Linked DNA regions of Ovis aries. The protein of the gene in region 1 purifies or fractionates together with the protein of each later gene. This does not show direct contact. Links are inferred from orthologs where the notes say so. Each region holds a gene or a part of one and is shown in the gene's direction. Other genes may lie near its edges. The genes, in order: PNMA2, CEP290, RECQL4, TRIM33, PKN2 and MARK4.

Region 1 (2,607 bases):
TCTCAACCACTGGACCACCAGAAAATTTCCAAGAATTGCTGTATTTTTGAATAAGTGTATCAACAGTCTTCACACTGGGTATTGTCATTGTTGAGTCTATAAGTCAAGTCTGACTCTGCTTCCCCAGGGACTGTAACCTGCCAGGGTCCTTTGTCCATGGGATTTCCCAGGCAAGAATACTAGAGTGAGTTGCCATTTCCTCCTCCAGGGACACTGGATATTATCATCATAAAAATACACTATTTATTATATTTATACAGGGCAGCTTGGCTTGGCTGAAGTGGAGAGACACCCAGACACACCACTGTGCTGAGTGGGTGACATCTTCTTGTACTAGAAGCTGAATACATAAGCGCCTTGGCTGTCACAGAACATTCTGGAACAAACAGGTACCTAACAAACAGCCTCCCGATTTCACTTTTCATGTGGGAAAGATCTTGAGTCCTGTCCATCACTGGAGCTCCATTAACTGGCATGCCTGAGGGGAAGCCTGATTGCAGGAGGGTCCCGAAGAGTAAAAAGTCACTGTAAGCAAAGAAGAGCGATGACTCAACTATAACGTAAGGCAGTCTCCCTGTTCCCCTCTCCCGCTTCCATCCCTCACCAGGTACCCATGCTTCCCAGAAAGGAGAGGGCTGTGTGATAAAACTGAGCCTTGTTTCCCTAGGAGCCCAAGCCACTCTGCTGGGAAACTTCCCTCCAAGAGTTCTGGCTGCCAGAGTGGAGGCATCTCCCCACTGGCTAGAGAGAGGTGAGGCGGCAGAGACCCAGAGAGGGGTGAAAGGAACTGCCACGTGCTTCCTGTGGGGCAGGTCCCCACCCCCGCTCCTCAACGAGACTGCAGAGCCTCTGGCCATGGTCCCCTCATAACTGAGATACAACCTGGGGCAGGTCTGGAGACCTCACGGAAAAGGCCAGGTTCTTGCCACTGAGCAGCAAGGGTGATTGGTCCAGGACCTGTTAACTAGTGGGTTATAAGTCTAGAAGCTCATCTGGGATTTTCTCAGTTTGAAGTCAGCGCCAGTCTGTCCCATAAGCTAATCAGTAGCCATAGAGTTCCAGCCAGTCAGTATCCGGCAATGGCGCTGGCCCTGTTGGAGGACTGGTGTAGGATTCTGAGTGTGGATGATCAGAAATCACTGATGGTTATGGGGATCCCAGTGGACTGCAGCGAGGATGAGATTCAGGAGGTCCTGCAGGAGACTTTAAAGCCTTTGGGCAGGTATAGACTCCTTGGCAAAATATTCCGGAAGCAGGAAAATGCCAACGCGGTGCTGTTAGAGTTGCTTGAGGACCCTGAGGTCTCTGTGATTCCCAGCGAGGTTCAGGGCAAGGGAGGTGTCTGGAAAGTCATCTTCAAGACCCCTAACCAGGACACGGAATTTCTGGAAAGACTGAACCTCTTTCTAGAAAAAGAGGGACAGACGGTCTCAGGAATGTTCCGGGCACTTGGGCACCAGGGGCTGTCTCCAGCAGCCGTGCCCTGCATCTCACCAGAGTTACTGGCCCATGTGTTGGGACAGGTGGTAGCACATGCCCCTCAGCCTCTGCTCCCCATGAGGTACCGGAAGCTGAGAGTGTTCTCAGGGAGCGCCGTGCCTGCCCCCGAGGAAGAGCCCTTTGAAGTCTGGTTGGAACAGGCCACTGAGATAGTCAAAGAGTGGCCAGTAGCAGAGGCAGAAAAGAAGAGATGGTTGATGGAAAGCCTTCGCGGGCCAGCCCTGGACCTCATGCACATAGTCCAGGCAGACAATCCATCCATCAGCGTGGAGGAGTGTTTGGAAGCATTTAAGCAAGTGTTTGGGAACCTGGAGAGCCGCCGGACCTCCCAGGTGAAGTACCTGAAAACCTATCAAGAGGAAGGAGAGAAAGTCTCAGCCTACGTGTTACGGTTAGAAACCCTGCTGCGGAGAGCGGTGGAGAAGCGGGCGATCCCCAGGAACATCGCCGATCAAATCCGCCTGGAGCAGGTCATGGCCGGGGCAAGCCTCAGTGAGGTACTCTGGTGTCGGCTTAGGGAGCTGAAAGACCAGGGCCGGCCTCCCAGCTTCCTGCAGTTAATGAAGGTCATCCGGGAAGAAGAGGAGGAAGAGGCCGCTTTTGAAAATGAGAATACTGAAGAGCCGGAGGGAGGGGATGGCTATGGCCACTGGGGTAACGAGGCCAATGACTAAAACCCAACTCCAAGGGTGACCCACAGACGGTGGGTGGAGGGACAGCCACGTTATTAGGCTAAGACCTTTTCAGTCTTTTTTTCTCTATAATTTGCACAGTTGAAATCAAAGCATTCAAGCCAGGTTTTATTTTGTTTTTCTTTCATCTTTTTGGCTGCATCGTGGGGTATGTGGGATCTTAGTCCCCCAACCAGGGATTGAACCCATATGTCCTGCAGTGAAAGTGGAGCCTTAACCTCTGAGTGGCCAGGGAAGTCCCTTGGGCAAGAATTGCTAAGTCTCTTCAGTTGTGTCTGATTCTATGCAATCCTGACCTAATGGACTATAGCCCACCAGGCTCCTCTGTTCATGGGATTCTCCAGGTAAGAATAGTGAAGTGGGTTGCCATGCCCTCCTTCAGGGGATCTTCCTGATCCAGGGATCAACCCTGTGA
Region 2 (3,500 bases), on another chromosome or scaffold:
ACATTTAAAATAATTTTTTAAATTGTGCATTTTTAAATCAACCAAAGAAACTTAAATTGTCTTCTATATTGTAAATTTGTCATTTATGTGAATTGCCACTGAGCTATTTGATTTTTGAGTATTTGCTTAATTCCGTTGAGGAATATATACTATTTTCTGTTTTGTTTTGAGAAGCTGCACATTTTACAATGGAGATCCATTGACTCAGACCACTAAAATTCCAGCTTTTATACTTTGTTGACTTCTATGGGTTACTCTTCTGATGCTCTAATGAGTCAATGAATCAAAATAAAAGAAATGATTCAGTACATTTTCTTTATAGATCTATCACCACCCACATTCCTATTTCTAAAACTATAAGATCTAAATAAAGTATTGTAACTAAATTTCATTTTCATCATTAACAATGAAGTTTCTAACATATATAATAATCTTATAAATAAAATATGCATGTAGATAACTGCTATCACATAGAAATACAGTTTAACCTTATTAAGACTCTTGAGAGTCCCTTGGACTGCAAGGAGTCCATCCAGTCCATCCTAAAGGAGATCAGACCTGGTGTTCTTTGGAAGAACTGATGTTGAAGCTGAAACTCCAACACTTTGGCCACCTGATGCGAACAGCTGACTCATTTGATGCTGGGAAAGATTGAAGGCAGGAGGAGAAGGGGATGACAGAGGATAAGATAGTTGGATGGCATCACCGACTCAATGGACATGAGTTTGAGTAAATTCTGAGAGTTGGACAGGGAGATCTGGTGTGCTGCAGTCCATTGGGTCGCAGAGTCAGACATGACTGAGTGACTGAACTGAACTGAAAGTAGCATTTGGCTATTAGTGTGCTTCTCTTGTAGCTCAGTTGGTAAAGAATCTACCTGCAGTGCAGGAGACCCGGGTTCGATTCCAGCATTGGGAAGATCCCCTGGAGAAGGAGATGGCAACCCACTCCAATATTCCTGCCTGGAGAATCTCATGGACAGAGGAGCCCGGCAGGCTACAGTCCATGGGGTAGCAAAAATTGGACGCGAGTTAGTGACTAAACCACCACCACCAGTCTGACTAAAATTCAGATGAAGCATTTAAAAGAAAAAAAAAGTATTTTTTTTAATGATTTATCATTACAGAAACTAAGAGAAAAAGAATCTGCTTTACGGTTAGCAGAGGAGAATATTCTGTCAAGAGACAAAGTGATCAATGAACTGAGGCTTCGATTGCCTGCCACTGCAGAACAAGAAAAGCTTATAGCTGAGTTCAGCAGAAAAGAGGTGGAACCAAAATCTCATCACACGTTGAAACTTGCTCACCAGACCATTGCAAATATGCAAGCAAGGTTAAATCAAAAGGAAGAAGTGTTGAAGAAGTATCAACATCTGCTAGAAAAAGCCAGAGAGGTATTTGGTTATGTTATGCTGTCTTATTTATTATGGTGTTTTTTAGACAAATGCCAAGTACTATTCTGCCCTTAAGTGGTGTTTCATTTCTTGTTTTCAAATGATTCAATTCAGGTATTGTTACTTTCACGTGATTGGATTACAGATGTGTCAGTAAAACTGGCAGTTTGTGTTATTGACTGAGTAAACCAGTAATGGCGTTCATGGTGAAACTGATTTCAAGTTAATAGGTAAAGATTGAGGCAGTAAGTTAGAATGAAATCCATCACACTGGTATCAGTGAAAATCAAATTTGCCAGAACTTTAAGGGGTAAAAAAAATCTAAAATTTAAAAATTGCTAGAAACAAGTTAAAAGATAATAAATCCATAGTATTCTAATATTAAGAATAAGTTATACTCTAAGGCTAGGCTTGTCAGTTTGAACATGTGCTAGGGAAATGTATGCACATGTTGTTCCTTCCCTCTCATAAGGATTTTAGTATATTAAAGATAAAATATTTAAGACTTTTAGAATGTAAATTTATATGAGTCACAATGTAAGCTATAGTTTTCATTTGTTATAAAACAGGAACAAAGAGAAATTGTTAAGAAACATGAAGAAGAACTTCATATTCTTCATCGTAAATTAGAACTGCAGGCTGATAATTCACTCAGTAAATTCAAAGAAACAGCTTGGGTAAGATTACAGTTTGGGTAAGAGTCTAGGAACTTTGTTCTATTCTTTATTGATTTTTCAGACCATACAGTTGAAAATTTAGCTCTGTTTTCAGGGAGAGGGGATTGGAAGCCATCCTACTTTTTTTTTTTTTTTTTTTTGCCAGAATAATCTGAAAACACGGCCCTGATCATTTTTTTCCCTAGGCCTAGATTTGTTATAGCTTACTGCTGCCTAGAAAATCATGTTTATATTTCTTCCTCTGACCTCTGTCTGTCTTTTCAAATCTATACATTATTAATTTACCTGTATCTAACTGCTTTCTATGTTCTGATAATTCTTGCCTCTTGGTCATTGTATTCTGTATGTGCAAAATGACCTTTCTTCTCCTAACATGCAAACCTTACCTTCCTCAAACTTTAACTCATTAATTCAATCAATATTTATTTATTGATCCTTCCCTACATGTAGGTACTTTGCCAGATGCTGGGAATACAAAGAATAAGATCCCTATTTCCTGTCTTCTCTAAGCCTTCATTGCCTTCATTACATTTTAGATTTGAAATTGTTTTGATCATTTAAGGAACCAAGTTAAAATTATGAGATAAGTATGGCATTGCATTGTACCTGCTCATGGCTAATATAATGATATTTCATAGGATTTAATAAAACAGTCTCCCACTCCAGTTCCTACCAACAAGCATTTTATTCGTTTGGCTGAAATGGAACAGACAGTAGCAGAACAAGATGACTCTCTCTCCTCACTTGTGATCAAACTAAAACAAGTATCTCAAGATTTAGAGAGACAAAAAGAAATCACTGAATTAAAAATCAAAGAATTTGAAAATATGAAATTACGGTAAGTCTTAGAAATATATTGTAAATATAGGAAAATGGGAATAATGATATAATAAATATAAATGTAAGCATTTGTTATATCATGCACTGGTCTAAAAATATTGCCTATATTGTCTCATTTTATCCTCAGTACTACTGATGATATGGGATAGTCACTCCATTTTGCAGATAGGAAGCTAAGCTACAGAACGTGTTAGTAACATGCCTAGGAGAAGATGAGAAAGCCATGATTTGAATCTAGTCAGTCTGACTCAAAAGATTCTTGTGTAGAATCTCATCTTTAACCTTTGAAATTTTCCTTTTTATTATCTGTAAAGGAAAATGACAGTCCTTACTCTGGCTCTTTCAAGGTGGTTATATGAAGGCCAAATGATGCTATATATGGAAGTAGTTTGAAAATTGTAAAGTAACATAAATACAAAACTTTTATTTATATACCTGTAATAGTTTGTGGCCCCACTCCAGTATTTTTGCCTAGAGAATCCCGTGGACAGAGGAACCTGGTGGGCTGCTCTCCATAGAGTCGGACAGAGTCGGACACGACTGAAGCGACTTAGCAGCAGCAGCAGCAGCAGCAACAACAGTTTTTGGCA
Region 3 (4,300 bases), on another chromosome or scaffold:
CTTATCAAGAGATCCTCCCCTTCTTAAAAAGCCAACCCCCACCCGCCACCCTCCCACCCCTGGCCAAGCACTAGAGGGATGAGATAATCCCAGGGGCTGGAAGGTACATCATAGCACCCTCTCTCAGCCGCCTCACAAGCTCTTGCAGGCTGCCCTTGGATTCTGCACAGCACAGCAAAGAGAAGTTGAAACTATAGATACAGTTTAATAAATAGTAGGACAAGTGGAACGGACCAGAATCCAGTGAACTCTGAGTCTGAAGAGCTAGAGTAACCCAAACACTCAACATGTACTAACTACTATCTTCCAGGAGCACTGTTAGACATGGAGACCCCTGGAGATTTACAGAGAGAAAGAATGCCTCACCCATCGGTGTCCTTGGCATCTGTGTAAATGTCTCTCTTCCCTGGAGAATCACGTTAAGAGGACAAGTATCAAACCCATGGGATTCAAAGACCCCAAACTAGGGGCCTTTCTTGAGATAGGTAGAGGCAGCTGTCAAAGGTATATCCAAGCTGACAAGGAGCACAAAAGAGATGCCTGAGGCCACAAGGTACCTGCGTGACAGCTCTGCTGCTGACTTACTGTGTGCCAGGCACCTCATCCTCAAAACTGCCTCCAAGCCACTTCCCTGAAAATGTTAGGAAACTAAGACCTAGGCCTTGCCAGACAAAGTTCCCGGGTAACGAGCTTGGGAAGGGTGGCAGCCTGGCCCCAGAGCCCCAGCTCTTGCGGACCTCATACACAAGTCCTTAGGGCGCTGGTTCCTGAGAAGCCCGGGACGTCAACCCTCGGTCTCTCTCTCCCTGAGGATAAATCTCGCGAGGACGATTCATACCTCGCTGTGAGGACAGACCAACCGAGCACCTGTCACGAGAGAAAAGGAAAGCAGCCAGTGTGGTCACTATGGGAGGAGTCTCAGCGTGGTGGCCACCGCCCCCTCTCACCGGCCCACGACTCCAGCGTTTCCCTGAAGACGCCCCCGCACGGCTCCTCCGGGCCTTCAGGGCGGGAGCCCGTCAGTTCGACGCCCTCCGTCTCTCCGGCGGGGCCTGCCTCTAGAAGACGGAGCATCGTCCCCCAAGACCCGAGGCCGATCAGCCCGGCACCCGACTCGGGTCTTCCCCTTCCCTCAGCTGCCCCGCCCGGGTTTCCGCCCCCGCCCCCGCCTCCGGTGCGGCGCCGCCCCGAGTGTCCGCACGCTCCTTGTGCGACCAGGCAGAGAAGGAGCCACAAGCCGCAGTGCTCGGTCCCCAGAAGGCAGCCCGCGCTCACCCGGACCCAAGCAGCCGCCACCGCCGCCGGCCCCGCCTCGCTGTACGTCGCGCTCCGTCTGCGCCGTCGCGCGCCGCGATGACGTAAACGCACCTCATTGGCTGCTGCAGCAGGGCCCCGTAGATTGGCTGCCCCAGCCCAGGGTGTTACGCCTCCAACGCTGCCGAGCGTCCCCATTGGCTGGCGGCCGGCATCGCCCTCTAGGCGGGAGATTCGCGGGGCGCCAAGCTTCCGGCGACCATGGAGCGGCTGCGGGACGTGCGGGAGCGGCTGCAGGCGTGGGAGCGCGCGTTTCGGCGGCAGAGCGGGCGGCGGCCGAGCAAGGTGCGGACTGCCCGTGGGCGGGGAGCTGAGGGCACGGCATCCGCCTGACGCGTTCCCTTTACAGGAAGACGTGGAAGCGGCGCCCGAGGAGACCCGCGGTGAGCCCGCGGGCGCGGGACGGAGGGAGTGGCCAAGGCTGTGGGCCGGGGGCGGGAGGCCTCCACGCCCCCTTCCAGGGGAATCCTGACTCCTCAACTCCGATCCCCCGACCCCGCTCTCAGCGCTGTACCGAGAGTACCGCTCCCTGAAGAAAGCACTGGGCCAGGCCGGCGGCGTCGAGCCTCACAGCTCGGGGCAATCGCTTCCCGCCGCTGCCGAGCAGGTACCTGGGCTCGACATCGCAACCTCTGGGTCAACATCCTGTGTGCCGGAGCCGGGAGGAGTCGTGACCCAACTTCTGTGGGGCACAGAGCTCGGCGGGAGCGGGGGGCAGAGGGGGAAGTGTGAGAGCGTGGAGGAAGGACAGCCCCTCCTTGGGTTTCTCGGGGGTGGAGACATCTCTGTTCCCCCTCACACACCAGCTTCTCCGTGGTTTAGGTCTCTACTGTCTCCTGCAGATGTTGGAACCCAGTTGCTGGGGGAACCACTTGAATCGGGCTGCGACCCAGAGTCCCCATCCTCCCTCAAGGTGGAGCCCTCAGGAGTCTGCGCAGGACTATGGGAAGAGGCTTAAGGCCAACTTAAAGGGCAGTCTGCAGGTGAGGGATGAAGGCCCAGTAAACAGTGCATCCAGCCTGGGTCCAGAGCTGCAGGTGACCCCAGCCAGAATTACCACATACCCATCCCTGTCGAGTGTCCTACAGGTAGTCACATGCTCACCTGTGCACACACAGCCAGCACAGCTCCGCAGAGGAGCTCCAGATCAGCCTCTACCCTCAGCTTCCTTTATGTTCCAACCTTTTGCCTCTCACCTTACCCAGCTGTTACAGATGGGCCTCCAGCACGAATGAGTCTGTGGCACCCCAAGGGCCTGAGTTCCTGCTTGCTTGTCTCCCTCCCAGGCTAGGTCAACCCTGGGCCGGATACCCCGGCTTGCACAAAGATCCTCCTCCAAGATCCCTTCACCGGAGCCACCAGGCGCAGCAGCTGCCCCCATCTCTCCAGAAAATGTCAATCAGGTGCTCCCTCAGCCTCCCAGGCCCCAGCTGAGGCCAGGCCGGCTCCAGCAGCTGAGGGCATCCCTGAGCCTGCGACTGAGCTCCCTCGACCCTGAGTGGCTGCAGCGGTGTCACAACAGGACCCCAGATTTTCTGGAGGTTTCCAGGACCTGCCAGCCTGGCCTGGGTGCGGAGGATTCACAGCTTCTGACTCCAGCTGTTGCATCTGTCCTTAGCCTCAGCGCTGGTCCTGAGGTACCTTTGCAGGGCCCAGAGGCTCCAGCCCTACCAGCAGCTGGTGTCAGTGCAGGGAAGTGTCAGCCTGGTGACCGTCAAGGCAAGAAGCGGAGACAGAGTGGGGAGCTGGAGGGAAGCCTTGCACAGACCCAGCAGGGCACCGACCAAGCAGGACCCATGCCTGAGGGAGCTGGGGCTGCAGGGCCTGCAGAAGACTGTACAGAGCAGCCTGTGAAGACACAGCCCCCAGGCAGGACCCCAGCCTCCAGGTATCACTGCTCTAACCTCCCAGCAGGGCTGCTCTCAGTTGAGCCAGTGTAGGGAGGGCTGTGGGCACTGCCGACATGTGCATTTCTTCCAGATCTGTCCAGGACAGGGGGAACTATGTGCGGCTCAACATGAAGCAGCGACGCTATGTGCGGGGCCGGGCCCTGCGGGGCAGGCTCCTTCGCAAGCAGGTGAGGAGGTGGTACCGAGTTCTCCCCCCACCTGTCCTGCTGCTTGCCCTGTGACCCTTCTTTGTGTCCCCAACCAGGCATGGAAGCAGAAGTGGCAGAAAAAAGAGGAGTGTTTTGGGGGTGGTCAGCCCAGAGGTCCAGCTCAGGATTCTTGCTCCCAGCATGGGCAGCTCAGCCACTGGGCGTCCCGATGCTCTCAGCCCGGTGAGGCCTCTGCCCTGGACGCCAGCCTACTTACAGGGGTGTTGTGCTCTTTGGAGAGGCAATTCTGGCTCAGGCAAAGGCCCTACTGACTCCCTGCTTCTGGTCCAGAACCTCTCCTGGCACCTCAGAAGGAGGATGTCAAGGTGGATGGTGCACAGACCCAGCCCACATTACAGGAAGCATCCCTGAGGACAGGTGCAGCCTGCTGCCAACTCTCTGGTGAGTGAAGAGGTTAAGGAGAGGCTGTAGCAAGTTGCTTTCTTGGTACTATGACGCCAGACCAGTCCAGGGCTCCTATGCTGTTCATCTGTTCTCAGCAGGTGAAGAAGACGCTGAGCCTGGGGCACCTGAGCTGTTGGTGCCCACGGGGCCATCTGTGTCCAGGATGCCCTGTCCACCTCTTTCCGTGCCTCCACTCTACCCACCGGGGCCCTCGGGTCAGGTGGCAGGTCAGCAGATGCCTAACAGCCCAGGCCTGGACGGAAGGGTTAGGATGACTCAGAGCCAAGCTGACTGACACCTGTGTCCACAGACACGCCGGCTGAGGTGTTTCAGGCCCTGGAGCAACTGGGGCACCACGCCTTCTACCCCGGGCAGGAGCCTGTGATCATGCGGATCCTGTCTGGTGAGCTGGCGGGCAGGAGCGTGGTGGGGCTGAGGCCAGGCTGCAAGACGGCTGCCTTGACTCTAGATCACACCAGGTAT
Region 4 (4,296 bases), on another chromosome or scaffold:
TTACACTCTTGATGAAAATTTTTAGGATCATCTTAAATTGTTTGAGGTGAGAAAGCAGTTTTTCAAAGTTCTTTTCCAAAACACAAAAGTTTAGCAAGTTGAAGGCCATCTCTGTATGTGACCGGCTCCTTCAATTCTTTAATCTCCTCTTCAACTTCTCTTTGCCTCTGTCAAGTCACTCCAGTCACACAGACTGTAACAAGCCAAGAATATGGTCTACCTCAGGCCCTTTGTACTTACTGCTTTTTCTGATTAGAACACTCTTCTGCAAGAGAACCAAAGCTTGATCAACATAGGACTTCCCCAATCACTTCTAATCTGAATTCTTTTTTCCCCTTCATAGCTTTTGTCATTCCCTGCATATATTTACATCACTCTTCCCCCAGACTGCAAACTCCTTGAAAGTCAAGGGTCTCCTTTGTTCCCTGCTGCAATCCTAGCATCTATAAAACATTACCTGTCACGTAGTAAGAGGTCACTGTTTTGAACGAATAAATGAAAAATGTTTCGAGGTGGCTTATTGTAAGGACTTATACCAACCAGCTCAAGAATATTTCTTGGGAACACTGTCTGAAGAGGAAAGTACTTCACGATCTGAACATTAAAACAGCCATAGTACTTGTTTCCCAAATAAAGACAAACCTTCCTGAAAGCTGCTATTAACTACACTTGTTAGGGTATTTGCGACTCAACTCACGCCCGGACACTAAGTGGGACTCTGAAGACATAATATTGGTCAGAGCGTGACTTCTCAAACTGACGCCCATCAGTCAGTCAAAGCGCTTTCAACATTCATCAGCTCTCCCCCACTTCCTGATGCAGATCTGGGGTGTGGTCCTGGCACATCTCCGCTCTGAAAAAGCCTCTCAGTCGATTGGTTTTCTGATGCGTAGCAACGGCAGAGAAACAATCACCTTAAGAAGCTAAAAATAGCGGTTAAAGAGTTTTTTTTTTCTTCACTGAGTTTTTTCAGCCTATTTCTGGTAAGCCGCCAGTTAAAAACAAAAATCCTCCCTTTACTGCTCCCGAGAGATACAATCATCCAAAGGAACGCGGCTAATTAAAGCACAGAGACCCAGGAAGCCTGGGAGTCTAACCCCGCGCGGAGGGAGGTTTCCGCGGAGATGCGCCCGCCCTGGGACCCGCACCACCCGAGTCGCTCGCTCTACAGGAAAGAGCCCCGGCCTTCCACCCTTTCCCACTCTTCCCCGTATAGTGGCCGCGTCCGAGTTCTTCCACTCGCGACTAAAGGTAGTTTAGCCTCAACAGTCTCAGGCTTTAAAAGCTCACTGCAAACGGAACTGCAGCGGGACGGAATCTTACGTGCGGGCCCTAGAGGTCGGGAGGGGCAACCTGGACGGCTGCGCGCCCGCGCCCGGAGTTCCCGCCTCCCTCCGGAGGACGTCCGTGCGTACGTGCGCGCGCCGCGCCCGCCTTCCAGCAACCGCGCGACGCCAGGCTGGGGGTGCCGCGTGCGCGCGCGCTCTCGTTCGTTCGTTCTCTAGCCTGCTCGTTCTCGGCGGCCGCTCTCGCTGCGGCTGCGGCTGGGGCTGGGGGCGGCGGCGGCGGCGGCGGCGGGCGGCGCGGGGCGGTCCGGCGGGTTCAAAGAGGAAAACATGGCGGAAAACAAAGGCGGCGGCGAGGCTGAGAGCGGCGGCGGGGGCAGCAGTAGCGCGCCGGTAACTGCCGGAGCCGCCGGGCTCGCGGCGCAGGAGGCGGAGCCGCCTCTCGCGGCGGTGCTGGTGGAGGAGGAGGAGGAGGAAGGCGGCAGGGCCGGCGCGGAGAGCGGCGCGGCCGGGCCCGACGACGGGGGGGTGGCCGCGGCCTCCTCGGGCTCGGCCCCGGCTGCCTCAGCCCCTGCAGCCTCAATGGGCCCTGGAGTTCCCGGGGGGGCGGTATCGACGCCAGCCCCAGCTCCGGCCTCGGCTCCTGCTCCGGGTCCCTCGGCGGGGCCGCCTCCAGGACCGCCAGCCTCGCTCCTGGACACCTGCGCCGTGTGTCAGCAGAGCCTGCAGAGCCGGCGTGAGGCGGAGCCCAAGCTGTTGCCCTGTCTTCACTCCTTCTGCCTGCGATGCCTGCCTGAGCCCGAGCGCCAACTCAACGTGCCCATCCCGGGGGGCAGCAACGGCGACATCCAGCAAGGTGAGCGGGAGGCCCGGCCCGAGGTCTGGGCCAAAGGGGGTTTGCTGTGCCGAGGAGGATCTGGGGTCCTCTGAGAGTACTCGGGTTCGGGGCTGCTCGGACCGGCGTGATCCTGAAGAGTCTCAGAGGTGAAAGACACGGCTCCTGGGACAGTTTTCAGAGAAGCTGAACCTCCAGAGAGACGGGGAGGGTGAAGGGAGGGGAGAGAGAGAGGCTGGGGGAGGGGACGCCGGCTGCAGGGGAGGTTCGTGGTGTGCAGATACGGGCCGGGAAGGCGTGGACTCTGGCCGAGCGTAGGTTCGGGAGCTGATGGAACGGATTGTGAGCGAAGAAGGGGTCTGGGAATCCGCCTGTGAGAAGCGTTTTTAAGGGAGGGCCCAGCCCCGAGAGGTGTTGAGGAGGGAGTAGGTAAGAGATAAGGGCAGTGAGGATGAATTGCCTTGGGGGGAGACTTGTTCTAAGCTAGGGGAAAGAAGGACTGGGAAGGTTAAAGGACTGGGAAGGTTAAAGGGCATTGGCGAATTTGGGACTAAGAAAAGGCGTCTGGTAGAAAGTAACTTTAGGATGACATTGAGAAGAAGGAACTCTGGAAACAAAATCGCTGTGAGGGGCCTGTATGGCCAGGGAAAAAACCTTAGGTTTAGGGGTAAAGGAGAACTGAGCTTTGAAGGGAATTAGGTGTTAGGGAGAGTTGGGATGAATTTATATTCTTTGACATTAATGGACCCTTAGTGTTTCGGATACCGTGCTGCGATTGGATAAAATACGCAGTGAGGAGCCGGTTCACTGCCCAGCATAGGGGAAACAGACGTATGAGATACAGCAGTGGACGGTGGATACAGTGGTTGTGGCACAGTCAAGAGAAGGTCAGGAAAACTTTACTGAAAAGCAGTCCTTGAGTAGGTTTCTTGAAGGGTGAGTAGGTCACTGAGTTGTAGAGTTTTCAGAACACAGGGCACCTTATACATTCCTGGGACGGGATCAGGTCATCACTGGAAATTAAGTTGGTTTGATGGGCTGAGTAGGTAAGAAGTCACAATCCCTTACCTGAAGCTCTTGGGACCAGGTGTGTTTTAGAGGTCAGAATATTTTGAAAAAATTTTCTTTTTCCTCTGAGGTCTTCAATACTCCAGCAGGGTCTGGGTTAACAATTCATTATTAAGTATTAATGTTTCTGTAGTGAGGCATATGAATATCACTAATGGGATAGAGAAATAATCCCCTACAATTCAGGGTGGGTTTTGTTGCAGACTCATGAAAAAAACTAAAATTTCAAAGCTTTTGAAGTTTGGGGCTTAAGGTAAGGGATTGTGGCCCTGTGCTAAAGGGTTTTGGATTCGTCCTGTAGACTGTATCCTGGTACATTGTAGATAGACTAAAGGGAGTCCCTCACAGACTTTTTAAAAAATATCTATCTATCCTGCAAGGGTCTTCCTTGAAGCATGTGGGGTCTTTAGTTGTGGCATGTCGGATCTAGTTCCCTGACCAGGGATTGAACCTGGGCCTCCTGCATTGAGAGTGCCATGTCTTAGCCACTGGACCACCAGGGAAGTCACCTCACAGACGTTTGTATTAGGGTAAAAGGATGACATTTGTGATCTATAAAGATTGCTTGGGGGCACATCGAAAGGTAAGGGAAGAAAAAACCTGAGGCAGGACTAGTTAGGAAAATTCTGGCAGTAATCTAAGAGAGAAATTAGCTGGTAAAGAACTGTTAGGTGTTGAAGAAGGAAATGTTTTGTTATGGGGGAAAGGTATGGACTTCTGGAGAAAACGTTTTTCTTGGATGCCTACTTGGTCACTTCTTGCTTGTGAGTTGGACAGATTAATTTTACAAGGACAAAAATTATCTACCTGATAAAGTTATTGATAGAATAAAGTGACTTAACAAAGTGACTAGTACATGGTGCTAGTACATGTAACAAAGTGACTAGTACATGGTAGTTATTAGTGAAATGGCAGCTAGGTTATCATTGATGGTAACTGATTGTAAGTAGTGCTGAGAATGGAGATGAGGCGCCAGTTGAGATTGGTGTGAGAGAGACACAGGTGTCTAGGCCAAGTTCCAGGTTTCTTGTTTGGTGGGTGGCAGTGCTGTTAATGCAAAATCAGATAATTCAGGCACAGAAACAGGTTGTGTGTGTGTGTGTTGTG
Region 5 (3,500 bases), on another chromosome or scaffold:
TCCTTTTAAAAACAAAAAAATTGTTTGCTTTAATTTTAAAGCTATTTAAAATGTATACTTTTGATTACTGCTTTTGGTGAATTGCTTTATCTTTTATAAGTGATTCCACAGTAACCAAGTTGGACTTTGATCTTGAACCTGAGCCTCCTCGAGCCCCACCACGTGATTCTTCCCTTGGTGAAATAGATGAATCTGCAAGAGATTTGGATACACCAGGACAGGTAAGGCATTTTAAACCTTGTATAATTCCTTTCCACCAAATAAATTACCAGTTATAGCATCATGGTAATTTATCAGCCGTAGCATCATTGGGCTTCCCTTGTGGCTCAGATGGAAAAGAATCTGCCTGCAATGTGGGAGACTGGGATTGGATCCCTGGGTAAGGAAGATTCCCTGGAGGAGGACATGGCAACCCACTGCAGTATTCTTGCCTGGAGAATCCTCATGGACAGAGGAGCCTGCCGGACTACATGGGGTTGCAGAGTCAGACACAACTGAGCAACTAACACTATAGCATCATAATGAATGAGATGCACTTTTAAGTTGTTTCTTGTGAGTGAAACATAAAAACCTCTGGATGCCCATGAGCCACTAGAGATGGAATAGGTTGCTTATTCTAGGAGCCTGGGAGTATGGCTGGTATTAGATGAAGTATTTCCTGACACTGTGCATCTTCTAACTAGGTTAACATGATACCTGAAAATGCATATAAAATTAAAGTAATGTATTCATTTTTTAATTGAAATATGATTGATTTACAACACTGTTTCACGTATACAGCATAGTGATTCAGGATTTTTTTCAGATTCTATTTCATTATTTCTTTCTAGAAGATAATGATTATAATTCCCTGTGCCATATAATATATCCTATTATCTATTTTATTTATAGAAGTTTGTATCTAGTAATCCTATACCCTTAGTTTGTCCCTCTCCTATTCCTTCTCCCCCTGGTAACCACAACTTTGTTTTCTAAATCTATAAGTCTATTTCTGTTTTGTAAATACGTTCATTTATATGATTTTTTAGATTTCACATATGTGGTATATACCATTTCTTCCTCTGTCTGACTTACTTACCTAAGGGTAATATTCTCTAGGTCTATCCATATTGCTATAGAGGGCATTATTTCATTCTTTTTGTGGGCAGAGATTAATTTTCCATTGTATATCCATATACCACATTTTAAAACAATTTTATTGAAGTGTAGTTGATATACAGTGTTGTGCTTAATTTCTTCTGTAGAGCAGAGTGACTCAGTTATACATATATTTTTTCCATTACAATTATCACAGGATATTGAATATAATTTCTTATGCTTTATAGTAGGACCTTGCTGTTTATCCATCCTGTATATAGTAGTTTGTGTCTGCTAATCCCACATTCCCAATCCTTTCCTCCCCCAAACCCCATCACCGTTGACAACCACAAATCTGTTCTCTATATTTCTTGAGTGCTTTGTTTTGTAGATGTGTTCATTTGTGTCATATTGTAGATTCCACATATAAATGATATCATGTGGTACTTGTCTTTCTCTTTCTGGCTTAATTCCTTTGGCATGATAATCTCTAGGTCCATCTGTGTTAGTGCAGATGGCATTATTTCATTCTTTTTTAATGGCTGAGGAATTCCATTGTGTGTCTGTGTATGTATACACACACACACACACACACACACACACAATGTTCTTTATCCATTCATCTATCAGTGGACATTTAGGTTGTTTCCATGCCTTCGCTATTGTAAATAGTGCTGTAAGAACATAGGGGTGCGTGTATCTTTTTGAATTAGAAATTTGTCTCAGTATATGCCCAGGAGTGGGATTGCTGGATTATAGGGCAACTGTATTTTTAGTTTTTTGAGGAATCTCTGTACTGTTTTCTATAGTGGCTGCACCAATTTACATTCCTACCAACAGTGTAAGAGGATACCCTTTCATGTGCCCATTGGCCATCTGTCTGTACCGCATCTTCTTAAACCAATGGTCTGTTGGTGGACACTTTGGTTGATTGGTTCCATGAAACTAGCTATTGTAGATAGTGCTACTGTGTACATTGGAGCTCCTGTATCTTTTCAAATTAGTGTTTTTATTATTCATTTTTTACATTTTAAAGATGAGAGTAATATATAATTAATGACCATAAAAATGAATATCTAATAATAACATCTGAATTTTATTTTCTCATTCATATTTATATTGACAACATTTTTTCTCTATTCTTACCTAATAAGTTGTTTTCTGAATGTTTCTGATTTAATGAGCGTTTAATATTTTACAGGATTCAGAAACTGTTTTTGATACTGAGAATGACAGAAATAGAATACTTCCAAAATCTCAATCTGAATATGAGCCTGATATCCCTCAGTCAGGCCTAGAGTATAGTGGTATTCATGAACTTGAGGACAGAAGGTAAAGAATATATCCACAGCTTTACTTACATGTTTGGTCCCATACTTTTGCCTTATTTTTAATTGGCATTACTGTTTTCAGATCTCAACAAATGTTTCAATTCAATCTACAAGACTTCAGGTGTTGTGCTGTCTTGGGTAGAGGACATTTTGGAAAGGTAATCTTTTAAATTTTCTTTCTTTGTAGGCATGAGTAATCATTCAAATGAGAAATAATTACTTTAATCTAATTTTAGGTGCTTTTGGCTGAATATAAACACACAAATGAAATGTTTGCAATAAAAGCCTTAAAGAAAGGAGACATTGTGGCACGAGATGAAGTAGACAGGTTAGTTTTTTGAAAATGAAATTGTTACACTTTTCTAAAGTTATAACTTAAGAAAATTGATGTATTCAGTATATATGGAAATGATAAAATTATCTCTTTTAATAATACAGTTGATTGTTGAATAACATGGTCTTCAACTACTTGGGTTCACTTAATATGGATATTTTTCATTTAGTAAATGCTATAATATTACATAGTTTGTTGTTGGTGAATTCATAGATGTGGAAGAACTGCAGATACAGAGGGCTGAATGTAAATTATGCACGATTAACCCCCATGTTGTTCAGGGGTCAGCTGTAATAAGTAAAGAAACTAAATTAATGCATGAGGTGGGTATTGATTAAATATTATTTTTCTTTCTAGCTAATTCCCTCTTCCCATTCTTATGACATTTTACTGCTTGGTGAATACCAAAAAAAGTTGATGAAATCTTTAAACTAATTCTTATATTAAGTTTTTATACTTGGAAATGTTGAAATGTTTGTATGAATTAGGAACTATTACACATCTGTGGTTGCGTGAGGCTATTTTGCATTTCATACTACAGAAGTAATAAGATGTCATTTACAAGTAATCTTCAGTTAAGTGGTTAATTCCTTCTGCTTTTTAAAATACACCTATATCTATTTTTTGCTCTATTTCTCTTAAAATGGTAGCTTTTGACCACAGCATCTTTCCTTTCTGTGTGTAAATTGGTATGGATTCATCTTTATATATGATTATTAAAATGTAAGGACTTTGGGGATAATATTGTGATTAGGTTA
Region 6 (3,500 bases), on another chromosome or scaffold:
CCTGGGGCCAGCAGAGAAGTCTGGGCTCTGGTCCCTGCCCTGCTCCTTTCTAGCTGTGTGACCCTGGGCCAGTGGCTTCCCCTCTCTGTGCCTCTGTTTCCTTGTCTATAAAGTGAGATAATCATAGAACCTGTCCTATAGGTTTGTTATGAATAGTAAATGAATGAGTTTATATAAAGCACTTACACTGGGCATGAAACAAGTGCTTTTGTGTCATAATAGACATGTGATAAGTTCTGTTGTCTTAGCGAGGAAAGTCGCTCAGTCGTGTCCGACTCTTTGCGACCCCATGGACTGTAGCCTACCAGGCTTCTCAGTCCGTGGGGTTTTCCAGGCAAGAGTACTGGAGTGGGTTGCCATTTCCTTCTCCAGGCTTTGACTGTTAACACATAAGAACTCACAGGTGACTTCTGGAAGAGTTTGGACAGAGGCATCAGTCATCTGCATGCTTGAGAAAAACTCCCACCTTGGCACCTGCCTCACTCACCACCCCTTCAGGCCCAGTCCCTTCAGCCCAGAGCCCTTGAACACTTGGCCCTAAAGCATTAGCCTTGGAAGAGCCCCTTAGGAACCATCTAGGAAACCCTCACTCTGCAGCTGATGAAGTTGCAGCCACCATCAGATCTGGCTGTATTAATCAGGACTTCACAGTTGCAGGTAACAGAAAACCTAAGCCATTCTGGCTTCAACCAGAAAATAATAATTGGTTGATCCATATGAAATCACCATTTTCATAGCTCAGAAATGATCAGTATAAGCAATTTCATGTAGTTTAACCTAATAGTGATGTTATTTCATTCACATAACTGAAAAGGCCATGATATGTCAGCTTTCAGGCACAGCTGGATCCAGGTGCTCAGAGACAGTTGTTAGGAATCTTCTCGGTGGTGACTTCTTTCCCAGGCAGCTCTCCCTGCAGGAGCAAACTGACAACAGCATGTCCTAGTGGCCTGGACACCTCAGTGGGAAGAACAGCTACTTTCCTAATGTTCCAGTGGAAGCTGTAGGGTGGGACCCATTGGCTACCCCTGAAGCAGTCAGTTTGACCTTGGGAATGGAACACTCTTATTGGCCAGAAGTGGTTCATATGCCCACCCTGAACCAATCAGTGTGGCCTTGGGGATGGAACACTCTGATTGGTCACACCTGAGTAATATGCCTGCCCCTGGGGTTTGGAGCAGGCAGGAGTCAGCTGGGGAATCTGAGCAGAGAAAAAATATTCTTCCAAGGAAAATCAGGGTGCTGCTGGCAGGAGGGGGAATGATTACTGGACAGGCCAAAGTGCAGACATTACTGTGTGATGCAGAAAAGAGTGGAAGGGAAGGATCTGGGGAGACTGAACCTCCTCTCCATCCCCCTCTCCCAGAGGTGATGGTGGGTATGGGCTACACGCGGGAAGAAATCAAAGAGGCCTTGACCAGCCAGAAGTACAACGAAGTGACTGCCACCTACCTCCTGCTGGGCAGGAAGACTGAGGTCAGAAGGCGTCAGGGACATTCGGGATGCGCGATACCCGGGGTGGAGGGAGACCTCTGGGACAGAGGGGAAGGGGCTGAGGTTCCTTGTCTGTCATCTTCCTGCAGGAGGGTGGGGACCGGGGTGCCCCGGGGCTGGCCTTGGCACGGGTGCGGGCGCCCAGCGACACCACCAATGGAACAAGCTCCAGCAAAGGCACCAGCCACAGCAAAGGGCAGCGGAGTTCCTCCTCCACCTACCACCGCCAGCGCAGGCATAGCGACTTCTGTGAGTACTGCCCCAACCCTTGGACGTGCCGTCCCGGCCCAAGGCCGCAGACCTGCATTATGTCAGGGTTCCCTGGCTGGCAAGCAGCAGAAACCGGCTCGAACCAACTGCAACGAAGGGAGAAACATCTTATAAAGCTGCAGGGACGTTGCATGGAATGTGGAGGCAGCCAGGCTCAGGAAGGGATTAGAAACTGGAAAAGCAGCCAACCCTAGAACAGACACTCTGTGACTTGCTTCTTCTTTGTTCATCTGGTTCTTCCTTTCTTTTTTTCATATCCTGCCTTACCTTTTCCAGTCTCTTAACTTCTTACAACTCAGTTTTAGGGGCCAGCTCAATAGTAACTGAAATCCCTTTGATCCACTTGATATCAGGGTCCAGTCGGGATTAATCCACTTGACTGGGACACAGGAGGACACATTGTACAAAAATGCTGCTGAAAGCCTGCCCTCTTGCCTCTCTTCCAAACTTACTAGTGGGAAGGGGCTGGGGAGACAGCTGCTTGCATCCTACATTCTTCAACTAACAGATATCTCATTTCCTGCAGGAAATAGACCCACGACCACTGCCACCATAAATGAGACATGGGAACTTGCAAGAGGTCTCTATCTATACCCTCATCTTAATCATCTTTGCTATATTTTTTAACAGCTTTATTGAGAAATAATTCACATACTATGCAGTTCACCAATTTAAAATATACAATTAAGTGGCCTTAGTACGTTCACAGATGTGTGCATCCTTCACCACAGTCCACGTTAGAACATGGTCAGTACCCTGGAAAGAGACTCTACAACCCTTAGCCATCTACTTCGAATCTCCCATCCACCCTAGCGCCCCCCCCCCAACAACTACTAATCTACTCTCTCTATAGATTTCCCTATTCTGGACCTTTCTTATAATTAGAATCATGCAATCTGTGGCCTTTTGTGACTACCTTCTTTCACTAAGCATGTTTTCAAGATTCATCCATATCATAGCATATATCAATACTCCACTTTTTTATTGCCAAATAATATTCCATCACGTGGATATGCCATATTTTGTGTATGTATCACCAGTGGGGGGTCATTTGGGTTTTCACCTTTGGCTGTTATGAGTAACTCTCTGTGTGGGTCTTTGTTTTCATTTCTCTTGGGTGTGTACCTAAGGGTGGAATCGCTGGGTCATATGGTAACTCTATGTTTAATAGTTAAATAACTGCCAAGGTGATTTCCAACTTTCCGTTATTTTTGCATCCCTACTTCTCCTGGGGGTGAAGTGCCTTACTCTGGGACAGGCACTAGTACGGGAAGAAGGAAGTCTGGGAAGCTTAGTCTTGAGCAGGGAGTATCCTGGATGGTCAAACCATTCCCCTTCCCTGGGTTTCCTTTTCCCCACCTATACAATAGCGAGATTGGCCCAGAAAGGCCCTGAGAAGCTTGTGATTCTAACAACCTATGATTAGGACATGTTAACCTTTAAAAATAACCCCCATGGAGACCCCCTGGGTTCCAGGGTTCACGGGATGAAAGATGGTCGACGGGCGCCCCGGGTGTGTCACTGTAGAGCTTGCTATGGTTCTGGGGCTTTTGAGCATTTAAGGTTTCTGAATTTTAACACTCAGAAGTTCCAAGTCTCTGAAGTTCTAGAACACCCTTAACCCCTGGGTTCTAAAACCATAAATTTTGAAGATGTTCTAAGGGACCAGATTTGTTTTGTTTTTGAAATTGATAGTCACATCCTTCAAAACTCAGTACAGAAAGCGTAGACAGTAA

What was found.
Region 2: the proteins of PNMA2 (region 1) and CEP290 purify together in Homo sapiens (co-immunoprecipitation; 3 studies listed by BioGRID and IntAct, with this or other methods). This does not show direct contact. The link is inferred for Ovis aries from reciprocal best matches to the Homo sapiens genes PNMA2 and CEP290.
Region 3: the proteins of PNMA2 (region 1) and RECQL4 purify together in Homo sapiens (affinity purification with mass spectrometry; 3 studies listed by BioGRID and IntAct, with this or other methods). This does not show direct contact. The link is inferred for Ovis aries from reciprocal best matches to the Homo sapiens genes PNMA2 and RECQL4.
Region 4: the proteins of PNMA2 (region 1) and TRIM33 purify together in Homo sapiens (affinity purification with mass spectrometry; 3 studies listed by BioGRID and IntAct, with this or other methods). This does not show direct contact. The link is inferred for Ovis aries from reciprocal best matches to the Homo sapiens genes PNMA2 and TRIM33.
Region 5: the proteins of PNMA2 (region 1) and PKN2 purify together in Homo sapiens (affinity purification with mass spectrometry; 3 studies listed by BioGRID and IntAct, with this or other methods). This does not show direct contact. The link is inferred for Ovis aries from reciprocal best matches to the Homo sapiens genes PNMA2 and PKN2.
Region 6: the proteins of PNMA2 (region 1) and MARK4 purify together in Homo sapiens (co-immunoprecipitation; 3 studies listed by BioGRID and IntAct, with this or other methods). This does not show direct contact. The link is inferred for Ovis aries from reciprocal best matches to the Homo sapiens genes PNMA2 and MARK4.

The regions. Positions count from the first base shown.
Region 1 is NC_056055.1:39,174,498-39,177,104, forward strand, and holds part of PNMA2 (paraneoplastic antigen Ma2), read left to right. Parts: intron 1-260; 5' UTR 261-389; exon of another isoform or gene 390-667; 5' UTR 668-1,079; coding exon 1,080-2,174; 3' UTR 2,175-2,607.
Region 2 is NC_056056.1:124,377,701-124,381,200, reverse strand, and holds part of CEP290 (centrosomal protein of 290 kDa), read left to right. Parts: intron 1-1,126; coding exon 1,127-1,393; intron 1,394-1,962; coding exon 1,963-2,070; intron 2,071-2,708; coding exon 2,709-2,908; intron 2,909-3,500. UniProt on the Homo sapiens protein: Involved in early and late steps in cilia formation. Its association with CCP110 is required for inhibition of primary cilia formation by CCP110.
Region 3 is NC_056062.1:13,390,578-13,394,877, forward strand, and holds the start of RECQL4 (ATP-dependent DNA helicase Q4), read left to right. Parts: upstream 1-1,500; 5' UTR 1,501-1,515; coding exon 1,516-1,599; exon of another isoform or gene 1,600-1,663; coding exon 1,664-1,697; exon of another isoform or gene 1,698-1,820; coding exon 1,821-1,921; exon of another isoform or gene 1,922-2,156; coding exon 2,157-2,297; exon of another isoform or gene 2,298-2,600; coding exon 2,601-3,202; exon of another isoform or gene 3,203-3,294; coding exon 3,295-3,391; exon of another isoform or gene 3,392-3,468; coding exon 3,469-3,595; exon of another isoform or gene 3,596-3,703; coding exon 3,704-3,814; exon of another isoform or gene 3,815-3,912; coding exon 3,913-4,044; exon of another isoform or gene 4,045-4,127; coding exon 4,128-4,220; exon of another isoform or gene 4,221-4,296; coding exon 4,297-4,300. UniProt on the Homo sapiens protein: An ATP-dependent DNA helicase which unwinds dsDNA with a 3'-overhang in a 3'-5' direction. Does not unwind more than 18 bp of dsDNA. May modulate chromosome segregation. The N-terminal domain (residues 1-54) binds DNA Y-shaped DNA better than ss- or dsDNA.
Region 4 is NC_056054.1:91,878,335-91,882,630, reverse strand, and holds the start of TRIM33 (E3 ubiquitin-protein ligase TRIM33), read left to right. Parts: upstream 1-1,496; 5' UTR 1,497-1,616; coding exon 1,617-2,142; intron 2,143-3,619; exon of another isoform or gene 3,620-3,692; intron 3,693-4,296. UniProt on the Homo sapiens protein: Acts as an E3 ubiquitin-protein ligase. Promotes SMAD4 ubiquitination, nuclear exclusion and degradation via the ubiquitin proteasome pathway. According to PubMed:16751102, does not promote a decrease in the level of endogenous SMAD4.
Region 5 is NC_056054.1:66,045,717-66,049,216, forward strand, and holds part of PKN2 (serine/threonine-protein kinase N2), read left to right. Parts: intron 1-100; coding exon 101-221; intron 222-2,278; coding exon 2,279-2,409; intron 2,410-2,490; coding exon 2,491-2,566; intron 2,567-2,644; coding exon 2,645-2,736; intron 2,737-3,500. UniProt on the Homo sapiens protein: PKC-related serine/threonine-protein kinase and Rho/Rac effector protein that participates in specific signal transduction responses in the cell.
Region 6 is NC_056067.1:52,725,755-52,729,254, forward strand, and holds part of MARK4 (MAP/microtubule affinity-regulating kinase 4), read left to right. Parts: intron 1-1,366; coding exon 1,367-1,476; intron 1,477-1,583; coding exon 1,584-1,743; intron 1,744-3,500. UniProt on the Homo sapiens protein: Serine/threonine-protein kinase. Phosphorylates the microtubule-associated protein MAPT/TAU. Also phosphorylates the microtubule-associated proteins MAP2 and MAP4.